Linked DNA regions of Rattus norvegicus. The protein of the gene in region 3 purifies or fractionates together with the protein of the main gene of each other region. This does not show direct contact. Links are inferred from orthologs where the notes say so. Each region holds a gene or a part of one and is shown on either strand. Other genes may lie near its edges.

Region 1 (4,900 bases), on a different chromosome or scaffold from region 3:
TGTGTGCCCATAGCTCCAGTGTTGTGGAGCAGAGACAGGAGAATCATTGGAGCTTGCTGGTCACCATCCTGGTTTTAGGTTCAGTGAGAGACCTTGTCTCAAATAAATAAGGCAGGTAGTGACAGAGAGGACTCTGGGTATCCTCTGGCTTCCATGTATGTGTGCACCCACACTCACTTGTGCACAGTGATACACACACACACACACACACACACACACACACACACACACAGCTGGCACAGATGCAGCTGAGACCCCAGTGCTGGGGAAGCAGAGGCAGGAGGATGTCTGGGTTGTTGACCAGCTGGTCAGGCCAATCTTCCATCTCCAGGATCCATGGGAAACTCATGCGAGTCAAGGGGCTGGAGAGCTGGCTCAGCAATTCAGAGCACTTGCTGTTTCTACAGAGACCCAGATTCAGTTCCCAGGACTCACAAAGTCACCTCCTGGACACGTGGCTAGTGCCGCCTTCGGTGACTCTCGTTCCAGAAGACTCTATGTCCTCTCATAGTCTCTTCTGCAACAGGCGTGCATGTGATGCACATGCAGACATGAAGGCAAGGTACTCACACATCAAATAAAATAAACCCTTAAAAACAAATCAGGTGAGGTGATTGAGGTACACATGGGATGTGAACTTACGGCCTCCACGTGCCCCACACAGACAGGTTCACACATGCACACGCGCACACCCACACACCCAAACCTACATGCACATGCATATGCACACACACACACGCACACACACACGCTCACGCACATGCACATGCATGCACACATGCACGCACACACACATACACCACAGAGATTGTCTCTGGAAAATGTGGTCACACCAGAAAGAATGAAAATTTTGATGGGTCTTCCTACTGATAGCCTTTCTACCTTCAGCCACGTATTTTCTGTCCTTACCTGAATTATCAAAGATTGATCATTGGAAAACAGAAAGCAGAACCCCCCAACCTAAGACACTTTTTATTTTATTTTTTATTCATTTTATTTTTGGTTTTCCAGGACAGTATAGCTTTAGCTGCCATAGAACTCACTCTGTAGACGAGGCTGGCCCCGAACTCGTAGAGTCCCGCCCACGTGCGCCATCCCAGCCTGGTCCCCAAAACACTTTTATTTCTTTAGTTTCTGACAGGCAACACCCTGAAAATACCAGCCCTACCGCGATCACAGGGCCAACTATTTGGCTTTACCCAGCAGACCACGCCCAGGAAATGGTCCTTCCAATCCGAGGCTCTACCCAGGTGCTCATTAGAAATGCAGACGCTGCCGGTTCAGACCTACTAAACCAGAACCTGCAGGTTAGCTAACTTCCTAGCCCAGAGTGATTAATTCGCACACTAAACTCGGAGACAAGCCCCTGGACTTTTGTTCCACAGTAAGAAACAGTCCTTTACAAACGTAATCACGCATGCATGTCCATAAAACTGAAACTAAGTTCTCATGAAGTGCTTACCGTTATTTTATTAGGGGAAACCACGTGTTCGGGACTCTGGAGCTACATTTCAGAGCTCCCTCCTGGGTCTCAACGGAGTTATGAAGTCCCTGGGAGCAATGCCTAGAAGGTGTAGGGGATGCTTGGAGGAGGGTATCAAGGAAAGTGGTTTACACCACCTTCTAGCTTGTTTTGCGAAACGTGCGCTTAGTCACTTCTGAGTTTGAACTTGGAGCCGGGACTTAGCAGGGTCGGGGTGAGTGGGAGCGCTGGGAGTGGGCAACTCAAAGTTCGTAGAGTCCCTCAAGGTCCAATCCAGCGGCCTTGATTGGTGGCCGGAGGAAGGCGAGGGCTGGAAGCTGGAGGAGAGGACCGGAGCTGGAAGGCTCTTGGGCGGCGAGAGGTCCTGCCCAGCTGTTGGCGAGGAGTTTCCTGTTTCCCTCCCGGCGCCCGGGTAAAGTTGATGAGTGAGTCACTCGCGCGCACCGACCGACGACACCCCCCGCGCGCGCACACGCTCGCCTGGGGGACGGAGCCCCAGCCTCCTGCGCAGCTCTCCTCGGCCGCCGGGGGCCTCCTCCGGGCCTCCGAGCTCCGGGGATCGCCGGCCACATCTGGCCCGCACCTCTGCCCAGCGCGCTCCGGGCGGCGCAGGCATCCTGAGAGGGCGAGGAATAAAGGCGCAGCCCGGGGTCCCCGAGGCTCGGTTCGCGGCGCCCCAGGGGCCGGTCTATGACGAGCGACGGGGGCTGCCATGGGTCGGGGGCTGCTCCGGGGCCTGTGGCCGCTGCACATCGTCCTGTGGACGCGCATCGCCAGCACGATCCCGCCGCACGTTCCCAAGTCGGGTGAGTGAGTGGCCGGGGCGCGACGCTGGGGGGTTCACTAGGGCTCCTCGCTCCTTCTCCAACCCCCAGGGCAGCGACTGACAGTCGGCCGCGGGACCCGGCGCGAGGGCGGAAACGGGAAGTTTGTAGCGGCCCGAGTCGGCTCGGGCCCGCGGGGTTCCGGGGAAGATCTCTCGCAAAAGAGCAGGACAGTCCACTTGCGGGGGACTTGGGGACGCTCCTGACCCCTTTGTGAGCGCACGAGAGGCGAGGGCGGCCACGAGGGGCCTGCATCCCCGGAAAGGGAAGTTTAAGAAGTTGGAAGTTGGAGGAGCATCGGCAGGGGACTGGCCGCCCAGCTGCTGCACACCTGGGCCGCTCACTGCCCGAGACACCGCGACTAAACCAGACTCCCAGCCCTCAGCTCTGCCACCTCGGGAGGGATTCTGGGCCGCGACTCACTGGGTACAAGTTAGAGAAAAGAACTGATCTCTAGCCTCACTGTTTCCTGGCCTGCTGGGATGCGGACCCAGTGAGGGTGGTCGGGTTGATGGCTGAGAAAAATTTGCTGCATGCCTACTAAGTGTTGGACTGCACGGGTACTGCCTGGAATTAAAGATCTCAGCAGCTGCGGTTCAGTGGAAACACCTAACCCGGGTTGCCCTCCAGGTCCCATCGCAGGGGTGGTGCAAGAACTAGGGCTCCTTCCTAAGAACTTTTTTGGGAAGTTTAAAGTCTGACATTTTAACCCTAAAGTTAGAATTGTTGCTGCTATCTGTGTAGGACCACTATCCGGGCAAATCTCGTGGCTCTGGGCCTCGGTTTCCCCTTGTGTATAACTCAGTGGTTCAGTTTGTGTAAGTTTACACTCTTTTCATCACTGGCTTTCCATGACCTTCCTTGGTGACTAAGAGGTGGCCAGGGTGGATTTGGGGTGAAACACAGAGGATGGGGTGGCCCTGTGTGTGCGTGTTGCCGGGCGCGGAGGTGGGGTTCGAGGGAGGGCTTTGAAGATGTCAGTAGTTGGAGTGATTTAACGGTTTTGGATCATATTGCAAACAGGAGCGGACCATCTCAGGGAAGAGTCCGATAAAGGAAAACAACAAAAATCCCACCAGGGTCTTAGTCGTTTCATAAACTCTGCTTTCGTGTCGTTGGTTTCCGTTAAAGGGCAGCTCCAGAAAGCCCAACTGTTTCTGATGTTACTCCAGCCTCTTAAAACTGGGCTGGGAGATTTGGCCCGGCTGGTAAGAGCATTTGCTGTGCAAGCTTGAGGACCTGAGTTCAAACCCCCCAGGGTCCGTATGCAAAGTTGGGCGTGGTTCATCGCCAGCCCAGTGGTAGTGAGAGAAGACTGAAGACCCTTTGGAAATTTCTAGATGCCAAGCTAGCTCTAGGTTCAGAGAGAGACTCCATGGAGAGTGACAGAGGGCACTTGGTGTCCTCCCCTGCCCCTTCCCATGCACACAGACCCTACCCCGAACACACATAAACACACGCAGGAAGAAAAAAATTAAAAGAAAAACTGCCGCGTTTTGCTGAAGACCATCCGAAAGAACACCCTTCTTTTTGTGTACATAAAACATTTGTTTTAGCTCGGGAAGAACCAAAGTCCAGAGGCCCCAGTTTGAGTTTTGTTTACAAGAGTGAGATTTGCGATTTTCGAGTTCCAGGCTCTGTAGCTTGTGGGTCATTTATACACAGTTTTAAACAATTAGCTGATGGGCTTGGTGGGTCTTGTTAATTTGGGCTTTAAATGATTTTATAAAACAGAGAGTTTTTTCTTTTTAAACATTTTATGGAATTGCTATTCCAGAATGTTTGGACAGTTCATTTTGAGTTGTACCCATGTGGATCAAAGTCTTTAAAGATGGTTTAAAGTTGGTCCCAGGGAAAGGATGTGTGGAATTCCACTTGCCTTTTCAGTTTCCAGAGAAGAAAAGGGTATTGGGATTTCTCTGACATAGTGGTAAACTGTGAGAATGTTTCTCAAGATAACTTTAATGCAAGAGACAATGAGAAGGAAGGAGGATTCTTTACAAAGCCCTAGTCAGTCCTAAACAAACAAATATCTCATGCTGACCAGCCTGGCAAGTGAACAAGCGATTTCAGTGTAAGAGAAATTCACACTAAAGAAAATTATTTAAAACTTCTTTTCCTCATGTTTCTCTGAGGGTGCTGTACATGAGTACTGGACTAGGGTGGGCACACCCTTGGGTGCTCATGGGTGTGGAGGCTGGAGGTTGACAGAGGGTGCTCATGGGTGTGGAGGCTGCAGGTTGACAGAGGGTGCTCATGGGTGTGGAGGCTGGAGGTTGACAGAGAGAGGGTGGTCTTCAGTTGTTCCACTTCATTTACTCAGGCAGGCTTCTTAGATGGTGCAAGGATTCTAGTTGAACCCACAGTGCACTGCGTGGGTTTGTCCTGCTAACCAGCTTGTCTTGGAGAACCCCAGAGTCTGCCTCCTGGGTGCTGGCACTAGAGGTCACCAACACATCCTTCTGGCCATTTATGTGGGCGCTGGGGATCTGATTTCAGGTCCCCATACTTGCATGACAAGTGCTTTATGAACTGAGCCATCTCCCCAGCTGACAAGAAATGTAGATAAATTTTAATTTTAAAATGTATGTAC
Region 2 (4,763 bases), on a different chromosome or scaffold from region 3:
AGAAGGGGTGGGGCAGAGACCGAAGGCTGAAGCTGGTCTGGGAGTTACATCAATGCCCAGTTCGGTGTATTCCAGCCCTGAGTTGAGGGAGTTGGGGTGCCTTGGCCTGGGAGAGCAGACATGTCCCCTAGCTTGCCTAGGATGTTGTCGTGTCTAAGCAGAACTGTGTTGTAGATCTCTGTCTCCCGGAACCAGGACTGCTCATCTCGTGAGGAGAAAATCTTGACCGCCACACTCTCGCCATGCCACGAACCGCGCCACACCTCGCCATATCGGCCCTTTCCTAATCCGTGGCCAAGGGAAGAATAAGGACCACGCACTAGACACACATAGTCCTTAAAAACCCCCACCCCAATTCCGGATGCTATGAAGATAGATCCCCTCTGCAAAAATCCGATTTTATTTATTTTTAACTTTTTTTTTTTTTTAAGTATAAGGTCTCATTTGTCTTGCTGATTTGGAACTTGCGATGTAGACCAGGCTGGCCTTGGACTCACAGAGATCTGCCTGCCTCTGCCTCCCTAGTGCTGGTATTAAAGGCATGTGCCAAAAACCCCAGCTGCCTTCTAGATCACAATATTTTTCATTTATTTATTTATTTATTTATTTATTTATTTATTTATTTATTCGTGTGTGTGTGTGTGTGTGTGATACACACTAAATGGGATCACATGTGGAGGTCAGAGGACAATCTGAGGAAGATGGTTCTCTCCTCTCGACGAGTACGTCGCAGGGATTGGATTTGGGCCATCAGTCTTGGTTCTAGTGCCTTCCCCTGCTAAGCCCTATGGCTCTCCTCAAACCTGAAAATATACCTTTATTAACATCTTGTCCCAGCTTTGGGCTACTCTTAGCTTATCAGTTCATCCCTGTCCTTGCAAAAATGACCTGACCTTGGCCCAGAACCAACCCTACCTAGCAGAGTATCTTACTCTGGCCCAGGCTGGATCCAGGCTGGATCCTGGAAGCCAAGAGCTTCCTGACCTCCCCAGGTCTATCCCCAGCTCACTGAGTGCTTACCCACACACTCCACCAGTGCAACCTGTCGCGCTACTGTCCTCTGCACCAAGAAGGGTAGCCCTGAGCCGCTGCCTGTGGTACAGTCGCTGACCAGGAAGTCCTGAGGATAACGAGTAGTTAGTCAGTGGCTACCCCCCATCAACCACTGCCTTCTCCATTCTCTGCCACTGCTGGCTCCACTGCTATATCACAGCTTGACTCTCACTGTCATCATTGGGTGACCCCTGATACCATAGCTCCTCTCTCCACACCCACCCTCTACCCTGGTATCCCGGGCTGCCCCAGGCCATACCCCCAACATGCTGTCTCCCTGTTCCGATGCCTTCAGGATGAGACTGGACTCGCCCAGGTCACTGTGCAGACCCCGCTGCTTCTCCTGCCTTCTCCGGACACGCCACAAGCCCAGAGTGCCCAGGGCCACCAGGACCAGCAAGGCCAGCACGGGACCCAGGATCAGAGGCAGATGGGCATCTACTTCTGGCTCCTCCGAAGGAGTTTGGGTGGCTGGAGGAGGGGGACATTGAGTCCCAGCTCTACCAGGCTAGCTCTCCTGACCCTGAGCCAGACCACTTACAGTCAGATCCCAGCATCCTGCCTCCCCACACCCTCTCCATGTGAACCAGGGCATGAGAAGAAAGAAGGGCAGGGGGCATAGTTTAATAAGAGGAAGAGTGGGAGAACACCCGACGTACCCTCCAGCATCAGGGACACATTGTGGTTGCAGAAGGATCTATAGCAGCAGTGATGGTTCACAAACTCCGTGGGACGTCCCAGGCAGAGCTCCTGGTTCAGGCTCCCGCAGCCCCGATAGACCTGGGGGTGCCTGCCCTGCTCTCGAACTAGCACCACTGTGCACCATGCCCCCTGGCAGATTGGCCTCTTGCAGTGTGGGTTCTCACAAGTGCAGTTTACCAGCTGACCCCTGGAGGGCTTCACCAAGTCTCCTGGGGGTCATGAGAAATTTAGGCACTCTTCCTACTGTCCCATCCCTTCTGATCTCACAGGCAAGCCCCTCAAGCCTTGGTCCTTTAATCCCATCCCCTAACTGTTCTTCTCTCTGAGCCTTGCCCCTAGCTACAGGCAGTGAAGACTGAGAAGCCAGTTTCTGTCTACAGTCTGTACTGGGACCTCCTCTCCCTACTACAGGTCCTCCAATGGTCCCAGGCTCCCCCTGTTCACAGAGAGTGTTCACAGAGAATAATAAGCCTCCCTCTTGTTCTCTCCACCCAAGACGTAGGTTCTATCCTGGAAGGAGCCTTGGCTTGCAACTCAGTGTCACGAAGATATAAAGGAAGGTGGGAACAGCTTGGGGGCCTAGTCTACGGGACTACTGTCCCTCCTCCAGCCAGGGCCCTGTTCTCAGCCCCCAAGTTCCAGTCCTAGCAAAAGCTGACCTGAACCCAGATAGCCTCCTTCCATTCAGGTCCCCATGCTGCCCCTCCCAATACTCACCCTTAGTTAGGCCCAAGGCCACCGACAGCATCAAAAAGACCCTTCGGAAAATCCCCAGGGTCATGGTCCTTGGAGATAGGAGGAGAAGAGATGTGACGAGATCTGCAAACTGTGATAGCTGTGGTGACCAAGGTCTCCTCCTACCAGGAGGAAATCACCAAGAGGTTTTTTTGTGGGGGGGAGGCAGAGAAGCCACCTCCCAACTCCTACGTCTGGTTTCAGGGCGTGGCTTGCAAGGGAAGTCCCGGTTCACTTCCCCATGGAAACCGTCTGCTGGGGGTAAGGGGTGGAGAGCTATGTTTAGAAGAGAGCCAGAGAGGACCATGGCTCTGCTCCCACTGCTGAGTTTAGAGGGGATCAGGCCGGGAGGGTTGCAGACCGACAGAGCTACAGCGGAAGAACGTCTCTCTTATAGCTCGTCTCTTGTCCTCAGTCATTTGCCCATCACCCTGCCCACCCTTTCCCAGTGCCCCCCCCCCTCCCAAAGCCAGGCTGCTTCAAACATAAACAGGTCCCGTCCTCACTTCCTGCCATTCAGGGTCCCGCCAGGCCGGCTACAGGAATCAAGATTGTTTAGATTGAAGTCTGGATAGAACACGCTGGAGTCACGCACAGCCGGGAGCTCAGGGTAGGGGCAACCTGGAGCCGAGACGACCGCGTGAAGTCTGTGTGGGTACCCTATGCACCATCAACCCCAGCTCGGATTTAAAAAAAAAAATGTCGTCTTTATTATTGTGTCTGCCTGTAAGGGTCCTTGTGCCAAGGTACGAGTGTGAGAAGTCGATCCTGTAGAGCTGTTTTTCTCCTTCCACCTTCACATGGGTGCTGGGGATGGGACTCGGGTCACCTAGCTTGTGTAGCAAGCATCTTTACCTCCGCTGTACCAGCTCTTCGTTCCCCTCCCCTGCTGCTCTGTTTTTTTTTAAGCTTTATTTATTTGTTTGTTTATTTATTCTATATAAGTAAACTGCAACTGTCCTCAGACACACCAGAAGAGGGCATTGGATCCCATTACTGATGACTGTGAGCCACCATGGGGTTGCTGGGATTTGAACTCAGGACCTCTTGGAAGATCAGTCAGAGCTCTTAACCGCTGAGCCGTCTCCTCAGCCCCTGCAGCTCTGGTTTTAAAGTGGGGAGAGTAAGGCTCACCCAGGGGAGGAGGCCTCTCAGATCCCATTAGAATTGTCTTGCAGGGGGTTGGGGATTTAGCTCAGTGATAGAGCGCTTGCCTAGGAAGCGCAAGGCCCTGGGTTCGGTCCCCAGCTCTGAAAAAAAGAACCAAAAAAAAAAAAAGAATTCTTTTGCAGTAACAGGAGTCTAACCCGAGAGTATAGACCCCACCTCCCCAAACTGTTCCTTCTTCTCTGTGTTCTGAGCTGGTGGAGCCAACCTCTGCCTGCATCCTCCAGCAACCCTATACAGCCTGACAGTGACTAGCTATAAAAAGCCCGTTTCTCCCTTGGAGCCATCTGGGCCCCCTTCTCTCTTCTTGCTGTCCTGGGAAAGGGCTGGGGGAGGGCCAGTGGTACAGGAAGTGAAACATACTTAGACACTGAGTGTTTGACCTCGAAGAGTTGCCTGGGGTTTCACTCTTCCAGAAGTTTGACGGACGCTGGTGAGAGACGTGACTCTGGGAGATGACAGTCCTCAACTCAGGACCCAAACCAACTACTGCTTCAGAAGCTGCACCACTCTTCCCTTCTCACAGCCCCAGAGCCAGCAGACAAGTGCTGAGCCTGTAGCAAGAGGAGCCTCGGTCAGACGGGAACACAGACTTTCCGAATAGCAGGGTGTGCAGGCTAGATCCTCAGCTCAGGAACCAACATGTGGAGTGTCCTGTGAGAAGACACCAGAAGTCTGGAAGGACTGGTCGCTTACACTACAGAGGCCCATGCTCTAAGCTTGGTATTGAATGGAGACCCAGGATGCTTTTTGGGGGGCAGGATGTCTAGGGTCAGGCTGAGGGGCTTGGTGGACCTTTCTGGCTAGTGGAAGCCCCAGCCTTCCTGCCTGGGTTTCCTCTGCCCCAGAGGCCTGGTCTGAGGGAGGAAATAGAAACCTGCCCTGCTGTTGCAACTGTGTCCCAGGTTCTGACCTGCCTCTTGCCCCTGCTAGTAACCAGTTAGGACTCTGCAGGGTTTCTGTGGGTAAATGCAGACGGGGCATGTTCCAAGGCTGTGGGCAGGAAGCCATTAATGGCAGACTTTATCAGATGTGGGTAATGGCTATCAACAAGACATCTCTCTGAGACGTGCAAGCAAGAGTCCACCTCCCTAACCTGCCTTTCC
Region 3 (4,176 bases):
GTGGGCTTGAGCATGGAGACAGACCCGGTGTGTTGGTTTGAATGAGATGGCATCTCTAAGTCTGGGGCATCTGAATACTTGATCCCAGTTTGGGAAGGCTTAGGGGCCTTCCTGGAGAAGGTAGCCCACAAGGGGTGGGCTTTGGTGCCCTCTCTGCCTCCTGTCTGTGTGGTTCAAGATGTGAGCTCTTAGCTGTTGCTCCAGGTACCTGCTACCTCCACTCTGCGGTTGTGAACCCTCTGGAACTGCGAGCCCAAAATAAACACATTGCCTTGGTTGTGGTGTTTTATCTCGGCAATGGGAAAGTTAACACATCGGGAGGCTGGGATCTGATTGGGTAATACACTCGGAGGTCAGGATCTGATTGGGTAATAGGATCTGATTGGGTAGCAGGATCTGATTGAGCAATATACGCGGAGGATAGGATCTGATTGGGTAATACACCCAGAGGATAGCATCTGATTGGTAATACACCTGGAGGATAGGACCTGATTGGGGAGGGCCATGCTCAGGAGGCCAGCACCCTTACCCGGCCTCAGAACCTGATCGAATCCTCAGGACATAGGCCTCCTTGTGTCCAGTCACACCTTCCAAGTGGCAGCCTTGGACTGGTGTCTGGGTTCGTGGTTGCCATTCAAGTGTGACGCCCATGTCCTTCTGAGCTTCTGGGAAGCAGAAGGGTGGTGCCTTTGGGTCTGTGGAGACAAATATATCAGAGGGTCTTACCCCGCTTTCAGACAAGGCAATGGTAGGGACATTCAGGACAGAGCCTAACAGGTGGGGGATGGCTTACTAGCTGAGTAGCTGAACTCGGTTTCCTCCTGTGTCAGCACAGCGTTAACATGACAAGTGAGCCAAGACACACATCAAGTAGTGCAGTACCCCCAGCCCCGCCTCCGCCCCAGCCCCGCCCCAGCCCCACCCCCGCCTCCACCCCCACCCGGCACAGGTCAGCTGTCTTTCTTCATTGTTTTTGGCATTATTTTGAGACACAGTGTCTCACTGAGCCTGGCTCACAGATTTGACTAGACTGGCTGACCAGCAAACCCCAGGGAAACCTTGAACTTGCAGAGTGAACTTGCAGAGGATGGGCTTGAATTCCTTATTCTCCTGCCTCTGCCTCCTGAGTGCTTAGATTACAGGTCCTTACCACCATGCTAGTCTAGGGCTCTAGGGCTTAACCTATGCAAGCACCCTATCAACGGAGCCGCATCTCCAGCCAAAAAGCTGGCATTTCTCATCCGATACCTGCTGCAGAAGCAGTCACCAACTTTGAAGGGCACCATCCAGCCTGTGTGACTTTGGGCAAATCACACGCCACTGCAGGCTGGTAGTACCCAAGTCAGGGGTTTGTTCAGTCTCTTCTGCAACTGAACCTGAACCCAGAAGCAACCGATGGAGCTGACCTTGGCCCAGCCGGAGGACAATGCTTTTGGGGTCATCCAGTGCTGCTATGGAGGTAATGGTGCCCTTGGTGGCTGCCCAGTCGAGGATCTGTGTCTTGGAGGTAAAGGATGGTAGTGGTGTGCTGTTGACTTTTGGTCCTTTGAAGACCTCGAGGCTGGAGTTCTGTGGAGACACAGAGTGCTGAGTCACTTCCTACCTGCCGGTCAGGAACCAATCTGAGTCAGCTCAGTTCATTGGCAGAAAAGAAGTCAAGACCTCAAATGACAAGGCTTAGAAGTCGTCAGTCGGGGGCTGGGGATTTAGCTCAGTGGTAGAGCGCTTACCTAGGAAGCGCAAGGCCCTGGGTTCGGTCCCTAGCTCCGGAAAAAAAAAAAAAAAAAAAAAAGAACCAAAAAAAAAAAAAAAAAAAAAAAAAGAAGTCGTCAGTCAGCCCAGAGCCCCCAGGTACCTCTTCTAGCACAGCCATATTGGCACCATCTTCCTCCTGCATGTGATGGCTACAGACACACGTTTGTCCATCTGGTCTTGGCCTTAGCCTCACCACGAGGCACTTATTCAAACCATGTATAATGGCATCAATGTAGCAACTGTCTGTATCCGTCTGCACTCTGGGTTCAGGAAGGGAAATCTTCTTGTCCACTCCCCCCCCCACACACACACACACTTGACACATTGTAGGCCCCAGCCATTGTTCATTGCGGATCTGTTATGCCAGCTGCACCTTCATACCTGCCACACACAGTAGGTACTGCGGATGCATGGGGAGGGGAAAGTGGAAGGGGAAAAGGGGGAAGGTATGAGAAAACAGTGAATGAGTGAATGGAAGAAAACAGATGAGGTGCTGCCGACCCTGGGAGCTCATCATTCAGAAACTAGAGAAGTCGAAGTAATAGAAGGTACAGGATATTTACTTAATAAATAACAAAAACCAAGGCTTGAGCCTGGCAGTGGTGGCTTGTGCTTTTAATCCCAGCACCTGAGAGGCAGAGGCAGGCAAAACTCTTGAGTTTGAGGCCAGCCTGGTCTACAGAGCGAGTTCTGAGACAGCCAAACCTACATAGAGAAACCCTATCATGAAAAGCAAAAAACAGGTCTGGAAAGATGGCTTGGATTTAAGAGCCCAGGTTCAGTTCCCAGCCACCCACATGGTAGCTCACAACCATCTGTAACTAGCGTCCTAGGGAACGCAATATTTTTCTGGCCTCTCTAGGCACAAGATCTGGTACGCAGACACACATGCAGACAAAACACTCAAGTACATAAAATTACATTCGATTTAATTTCGAAAAGAAATGCAACCCAAGACCTCTGGCTGGCTGGGGACAGGGAGTCTGGAGAGATCCCAAACCCCACTGCTTCCCTTAGGGTCCTTTGGGGTCTGTTGGGCCAAGAAAAGAAATAAAGAGGACTTCCTGGAAGAGGTGACCCAGAGGACTCCTTTGAGCTGAAGAAGCAGCAGCAGGAGGGATTCAGGCTAGATATTAAGGGGGACTGCATGGCGCTCAGAGGAGATATAATAGAACACACTGCCTGCTCTGAAGGCTTTAACCTCAGTAAAACAGGGTTACAGCCGTGACTCAGGCGCATGGCGCTTATCGGTCTCCTGGCTTATGCCCCGCCCAACACTGAAGGCAGGCCTCTGACCTCTGGGTGGTGATCTGTTACAGATGACTCAAGGCTGTCACTGTGAGTGTTAAATGCAAGTAAAAAGGTGCAACCAGGCTAGGCTGCAGCTACAACCCTCCAGCCAGAGCTTGCCTTACAAGTGCACACAGAACCCTGGCAGCTCCCAAACCCTGGGAAGGAGGTGAGGAAGGGAATGGAGGGAGAGGCACCATGGGAAGGTCTCTAGGACCTGACTTCCCCTCTCGGTGATAAAGAGAAGGATACTCTGGGAATGGAAGCCAGACCCTTGCGGTTGGACTTGGGAGGGGATTTTCCGTGGTGTCCCCACCATGCTGGTCTGTGTGTCCATCTGTGAGAGGGCCTTCACCTTTACTGCCCACCTCTGCCTCCTCTGGCACCTTCTGGTCCTATCCCTGCCTTTATGGTGTGCTGCGTTGCTCACAGAAAGGGACACCAGGCAGGGGCTTCCCATAGCCTGCCTGGAATTAGGGATCATACACTCACGTAGACCAAGTGCAGTGGGATTTCTGGGGCCTGGAGCTTCACCAAGACATTCTCGTTCGAAATGAAGACCAGAAACACCTCCCGAGTCTCAGTGCCATTTTGCTTGGATGCTTGAAGAGTCAACTCCACCTCGGACTTCCTCTGGGGAAAAGTCATGGACATAGATATATCAGTCAGGTTTTGCTTCATGTATGGTTGACGACCATTCCATAGGCCATCCCTGACTTGACCTATCTTCTCGCCAGTTACCTGTCCGCAAAGTAATGCCTATCCCCTCGCATGCCTAGAAAATGTAAGAGGGTTTCAGCAAGCGCGACCGCCAAGACCGAGGACCTGAGTTCAATCCCCAGGACTTACCTGGTAGAAAGAGAGTCCTGACTCCTACAAGCTGTCCACAGAGCTCTGCACCAGCCCTGTGATGCATGCACGCGCACACACACACACACACACACACACACACACACACACACACACACACACAATCAATGCCTGCACACACATACACGCACACACTAAGTAAATAAATACAAATTAAACGAAAAATAAGAAGGAAAGAGGGCGTGAATGAATGAGTGAGCTTGGTCTCAACCAAGCAAAGAAAGAAGAACAAAACTATGACAAGTCTGTGCTTCACATAGC
Region 4 (4,937 bases), on a different chromosome or scaffold from region 3:
GCTTCCTATTTTTTGGGGGGGTGGGAGTGGGGTTGAGATAAAGCCTCTATATTCTATAGTTCTGGATGTCCTAGAACTCACTATATAGACCAGAATCTGTCTGCCTCTGCTTCTTGAGTGCTTAGTTTAAAGGCATGAGTCACAAGGCCCAGCAGGTCATAGCTTCTTTTTTTTCTTTTCTTTTATTGGATACTTTTTTATTTACATTTCAAATGTTATCCCCTTTCCTGGCTTCCCCTTTGGAAACTCCCTATCCCATCCTCCCTCCCCCTGCTTCTATGAGGGTGCTCCCCACCCACCCGCTCCCCTCCTGCCTTCCCACCCTGGCATTCCCCTACAACACTGGGGCATCCAGCCTTCACAGGACCAAGAGGCCATAGCTTCTTAAACTGAATCCTAACTCCTTATAGAGGTGCTGGGTCATACAACAATCTGGCAATACTCAAGGACTTCTGAATGTATAACACTCCAAATTAATTAAAAATCAAATGAGTAATGAATCTGAAGTGTTTCTGGCAATGCATGCTTGTGTTACATGATGCAACTTCACAACACCCTTGGTTCTAAACACACTTGCTGTCGTGTTATGCAGTGCTAACATTTATTTTTATAAGTTTTAATGTTTTTTATTAAATAAAAAGTTTTCTATTCTTCCAGAAACATACATACAGAAAAGGCTTTCATCCTTCATGTATATCAAAGTGGTATATTTGTGATCGATTGTAGATCGACTGTATTGTGTTAGAATGTCTGATTTTAAAAACTGCTGTTTAAGTTGCTGACTTAAATTTCATTTTAAAAATTATTAAATGAGGTCTGGAGAGACGGCTCAGTGGTTAAGGGCATCGACTGCCCTTCCAGAGGTCCTGAGTTCAATTCCCAGCAACCACATGGTAGCTCACAGCCATCTGTAATAAGATCTGATGCCCTCTTCTGGTGTGTCTGAAGACAGCTACAGCATACTTATATAAATAAAAAATTATTAAATAAATTTCATCTTGTGATTAAGAGAGAATTTTCAACAATGTCTGAAATGGCCCTAAACAATTATATGGAGTCGTTGGCATTGGATGATTTAATTCTTTAAGTAAAAATAAACTCACCCATCTCATTACTATGAAAATGTGCTTGAATCTTTAATAAATAGTAAAATTGTATGTACCAATGAATTGTTTTAAAATAATTTCATTTATGATCTATTATCAGCACATCTGAATTATATACTTGCTTTCTACATTTTGTACTCAAGGTCACGTACAATCTTTTGAGAAAAGAGGATGGCAAACGGGGAAAGTTTATGAAGTACTAGTCTAGGTTTTGAGTAATAAAATCCTCCAGGACACGGACCAACCTTCTCAGCATCTAAGTCAATACTGCTAAATGCATGAACGTGTCTTGCTTTGTTTTAGGTAGAAAAGAATTACTTTATTCAAATAATTGTAGAGATATGGCCACTTATAGTTGGTGAATAATTATAACAATTCCCCCACTTTGTCCACCGTTATTCCCTTCCTAAGCCAATGTCAAAAACCCATGGTATCTTCTAATGAAGACCTTTGTGAAGGGAATGTTCAAGTACTAGGTTGTTCAAGTTCAAGTAAACTAAGAAACTGATGGCTAAGTTCTAAGTGTCAAATATCAACTGTTCTTTAAGTGGGCTATGCTACGGTATAGCAGGTGCACTGATTTTGAGCCCAGAAAGGCCTAAGTACAAATTAATTTCTGCACTTACTAAGAACGTAATCTCCTGCACCTCAGTTTTCAAGTCAATGTACAGGACAAGTACTGGTAGCCCCGAGGGTTCTGTGCCCCGAGATACTGTGCCTTTTACATCTGCATTATAATCAACTCCCAATAAACAGTTACTATTAAGTTTAATAACAGCTGGCATCCACAGTCTGGAGAGATTTTTGTTTTGGTATGCTTTGCTTTTTAAAATGTTATCCAATTTCAGCAACAGACATGTATTTTCACTGTATTTTAGTTGCTAATCTGAGCCTCAGTATTTTGCTTTCTCCTATTTTAATCGGTTCCGGACTAAGTTTTTCAATCTTCCCTCCACGGGGTGACAACCGTATCACGGCCGGTTTTAATATTTTGGAAAACTACACATTTTCCCTTCAAAAGCCAGCTACATAGAGGTCTGATTTTAAGACTACTGCTTAAGGAAACGATACACCCAAAGCAACGATCCCGTCGAGAAAAAGAAATCTTTGATCAATTCTACAGAATCATTCCCATTCAAACGATCCCAAGTCTGCAGAGTGAGCAAACGTTCAAGTTTCTACTAGCAAGGCAATCTTCTGGTTACTGAACTCTCAACTCTTCCCAGACGCACGAAGAGAGAACATTCCGCGCATCTTCGCGCCTGCTTCTCACACAAAGCCCCCGGTTGAAGAAAAGTCGCCCTAGGCGGGCGCCGACACTCACAGCAGTGCGGCCCACCCGGGATCTCTGCCCACGGCGCCCCTTACGACCCTCCGAGGAGCCCTCCACGCGCCGAGCCCCGGAGCGCCTCCACGCCGGTGCCCGCCCACGCCCTAACAGTCTCAGGCCGGAGAGCACTTAGGCAGTGGAATCAGGGGGCCACGGTCCCCGCCGGCCTCACACCCCCGAGGGCAGCCACAGACCTCAGCAGGCTCGCCAGCCGCTGCTCCCGGGAGCCCAAGAGGGCAGGCCTCCGCTCGGTGTTCGGCCACCCGCGCTCGACACCGCCCCCGCCCCGCCTCTCCTCCCCGCCCCGGCTCGCGTGGCGCCTGCCGGGTCAGGAAAGCTCGGCCGGCCCGGCGCCGCCACCTGCGCCCCCGGCCCCGCGCCATGTTTGAGAAAGAGCTGAAGCGAGCCAGAGGCCGGGCCCGGCTCGCGCGCCCCACAGCCACCCGCCCGCCACTCACCCTTCGCCCCCGGGAGCAGCGTCGCCGCCGCCACCAACACGATGAGAAGCAGGCAGCGACGCAAAGCAGCCGACGCCGCCTCCATGGTCCCGCTGCCACTGTTTGTGGCCCGGCCCGGCCCCGGCCTCAGCTTCTCCTCAACAAGCCTCGCCTCTCCTCGCCCCACCTCCCCGCCGCCGCTGCGGCCTCGCTCCGGCCCTTTGTAACTGCTCGAGGGGCGCACGCCCATTGGCTGCCCAGCTCCCGCCGACCCCGCCTCCCCCGCCGCCCGCGAGCGCCCTAGAGGGACCCAGCGGAGAGCCCCGCCCTCGGGGCCCCTGGGCGGCCAATGAGCGGCCCTGGACTTCTGCCTCTAACCACGCCTCCGCACTGCTGGGCCTCTGGCCACGCCCCCTCACCGCTGGGCGCCTATACTCCAGCCACAGCAGGGTAGCTCGTACTCTACCGGCGGGTGGGGGCAGGGTCCAGCCTGCGCGCCCGAGGGAGCCCGCAGTCCGGACTAAGCGCTGGGTGTGCCCGTAAGAGTTGCTCAGGGAAAGACTGTGGACGTTGCTCGCTCTTTTCTTCTACTCCAACCCCACCCTGACTTTCCCTGCACAGTCCTGCACCGGCAAAGCTCAACTATCGCCACTCCGACCCTCAATACGGTCCGCGGTTCAACTTCTTCTCCCTAGACCCGCTCCTCAATTCCCAGCCTCCCCGCAAAGATAACCCGATTTCTTCCCGCACTCTATGGCCGCCCCAGACCTAGTCTTGCCCTCCTCAAATTCCAGTCCCAAAGTCGGAGCCCAGATTCTGAATCCCGAGGCGGAGCTCAGACACACCCCTGAGTGGCCTGTGTCTCTCGGCAGTATAAACAGACTGTGGGTCCCCGCCGCTCTCCTTCCCTCCCACCTTCCTGACCCCGCGTGGAAGCGGAGAGGCCTACGGGTTTTGAATGATGGGGGATTCGGGGCGAAGCGGGAGCAGTCATAGGTACTTAGAGCTGTCTCCGACACGCCTGTGTAATAATTTCGAGGTGTCACTAAAAACCCAAATAAACTCAGCTCCGCTTTCATTCTGAATTCCTAATTTACTGTGAGACGCTCCACCCACCTTCCCTCTGGGATGCCAAAATGAGCTCCAGATTTGTAATTCTTCCTGTCAGACTAGTCCTTTCTTCAGACACAAACACAGTCACGGAGGCGGCCGCATGGCACCGACAGCATTTTTCCGCAGAACCTTTTAAGGAGAAAATTTTATTTTCTGTATGATTTGAACTCGGAATTAAATGAAGCTCGGTAGTAGGAACCAGCCGGCCTCTAGTATCTGTTAGTAAATTGTTTTACAGCCACTCTCCAAGAGTTTGATCCTGCTTATGAAAGCAAACCGTGGGGGTTAGAGCTGGGGTCTGAGACTGCTTCTCGGCTCCAGCTAGGACACGCTTGAGCAAGTCCTAACCTGCCAGAACCTGAACAGGCCTGCTCTCTGGGACTGCAGAACGATCAGTTCCTAGCTCCCCTGCACCGAGGCTACAGAGACTAAATTTGACTAGCTTCTAAGGCAATCTCTCTGAAAGACTTAAAGGGGCTGTCACACCCGAAATCTCCAGTGCCTATCCCCGCCTCACCCCCACCCCCAAAGCCTTGTACTTCCTCGGCAAGTACTCTACTAATAGCTAGGCAAATACTCTCTACTGATAAGCTACGGCCCCAGTTCTTGTTATTTTTTTAAAGATTGGGTCCAGCTCCTATGTGCACCACGTGCATGTAGTGCTTGTGGAGTCCAGAAGAGGGCGTCCAATTACTTGGAACTGGAGTTGCAGGTGGTTGTGGGCTACCCGACAAGAATGCTAAGAACAGAACCACTTCCTCTGCCAGAGCAGTCTCTTAACTATTCACCCATGGCCCCGGCCCCCAGCCCTTGTTTTTTACAGACAGGATCTCAGGCTAGACTGAAATTTGGAATCCTCCTGCCTTAGTCTCCCACCTCCCCTCCCCCAGGGCTGGGGTTACAGCCACATGCCAAGATGCCCCTCCCCTCTTCTTTTTCTGATCTAGTCTG

The links. Proteins that work in one complex are often made in the same cells at the same time.
Region 1: the proteins of Eng (region 3) and Tgfbr2 purify together in Homo sapiens (affinity purification with western blotting; 3 studies listed by BioGRID). This does not show direct contact. The link is inferred for Rattus norvegicus from reciprocal best matches to the Homo sapiens genes ENG and TGFBR2.
Region 2: the proteins of Eng (region 3) and Acvrl1 purify together in Homo sapiens (affinity purification with western blotting; 3 studies listed by BioGRID and IntAct, with this or other methods). This does not show direct contact. The link is inferred for Rattus norvegicus from reciprocal best matches to the Homo sapiens genes ENG and ACVRL1.
Region 4: the proteins of Eng (region 3) and Tgfbr1 purify together in Homo sapiens (affinity purification with western blotting; 5 studies listed by BioGRID and IntAct, with this or other methods). This does not show direct contact. The link is inferred for Rattus norvegicus from reciprocal best matches to the Homo sapiens genes ENG and TGFBR1.

What each region holds. Positions count from the first base shown.
Region 1 is NC_086026.1:124,758,409-124,763,308, reverse strand, and holds the start of Tgfbr2 (TGF-beta receptor type-2 precursor), read left to right. Parts: upstream 1-1,839; 5' UTR 1,840-2,195; coding exon 2,196-2,289; intron 2,290-4,900. UniProt on the Homo sapiens protein: Transmembrane serine/threonine kinase forming with the TGF-beta type I serine/threonine kinase receptor, TGFBR1, the non-promiscuous receptor for the TGF-beta cytokines TGFB1, TGFB2 and TGFB3.
Region 2 is NC_086025.1:134,122,525-134,127,287, reverse strand, and holds the start of Acvrl1 (serine/threonine-protein kinase receptor R3 precursor), read right to left. Parts: upstream 3,062-4,763; 5' UTR 2,997-3,061; intron 2,746-2,996; exon of another isoform or gene 2,613-2,745; 5' UTR 2,537-2,612; coding exon 2,473-2,536; intron 1,965-2,472; coding exon 1,713-1,964; intron 1,577-1,712; exon of another isoform or gene 1,525-1,576; coding exon 1,313-1,524; intron 1,121-1,312; coding exon 1,021-1,120; intron 284-1,020; coding exon 137-283; intron 1-136. UniProt on the Homo sapiens protein: Type I receptor for TGF-beta family ligands BMP9/GDF2 and BMP10 and important regulator of normal blood vessel development. On ligand binding, forms a receptor complex consisting of two type II and two type I transmembrane serine/threonine kinases.
Region 3 is NC_086021.1:36,355,925-36,360,100, reverse strand, and holds part of Eng (endoglin precursor), read right to left. Parts: intron 3,679-4,176; coding exon 3,538-3,678; intron 1,570-3,537; coding exon 1,407-1,569; intron 696-1,406; coding exon 530-695; intron 1-529. UniProt on the Homo sapiens protein: Vascular endothelium glycoprotein that plays an important role in the regulation of angiogenesis. Required for normal structure and integrity of adult vasculature. Regulates the migration of vascular endothelial cells.
Region 4 is NC_086023.1:66,447,522-66,452,458, reverse strand, and holds the start of Tgfbr1 (TGF-beta receptor type-1 precursor), read right to left. Parts: upstream 3,062-4,937; 5' UTR 2,980-3,061; coding exon 2,895-2,979; intron 1-2,894. UniProt on the Homo sapiens protein: Transmembrane serine/threonine kinase forming with the TGF-beta type II serine/threonine kinase receptor, TGFBR2, the non-promiscuous receptor for the TGF-beta cytokines TGFB1, TGFB2 and TGFB3.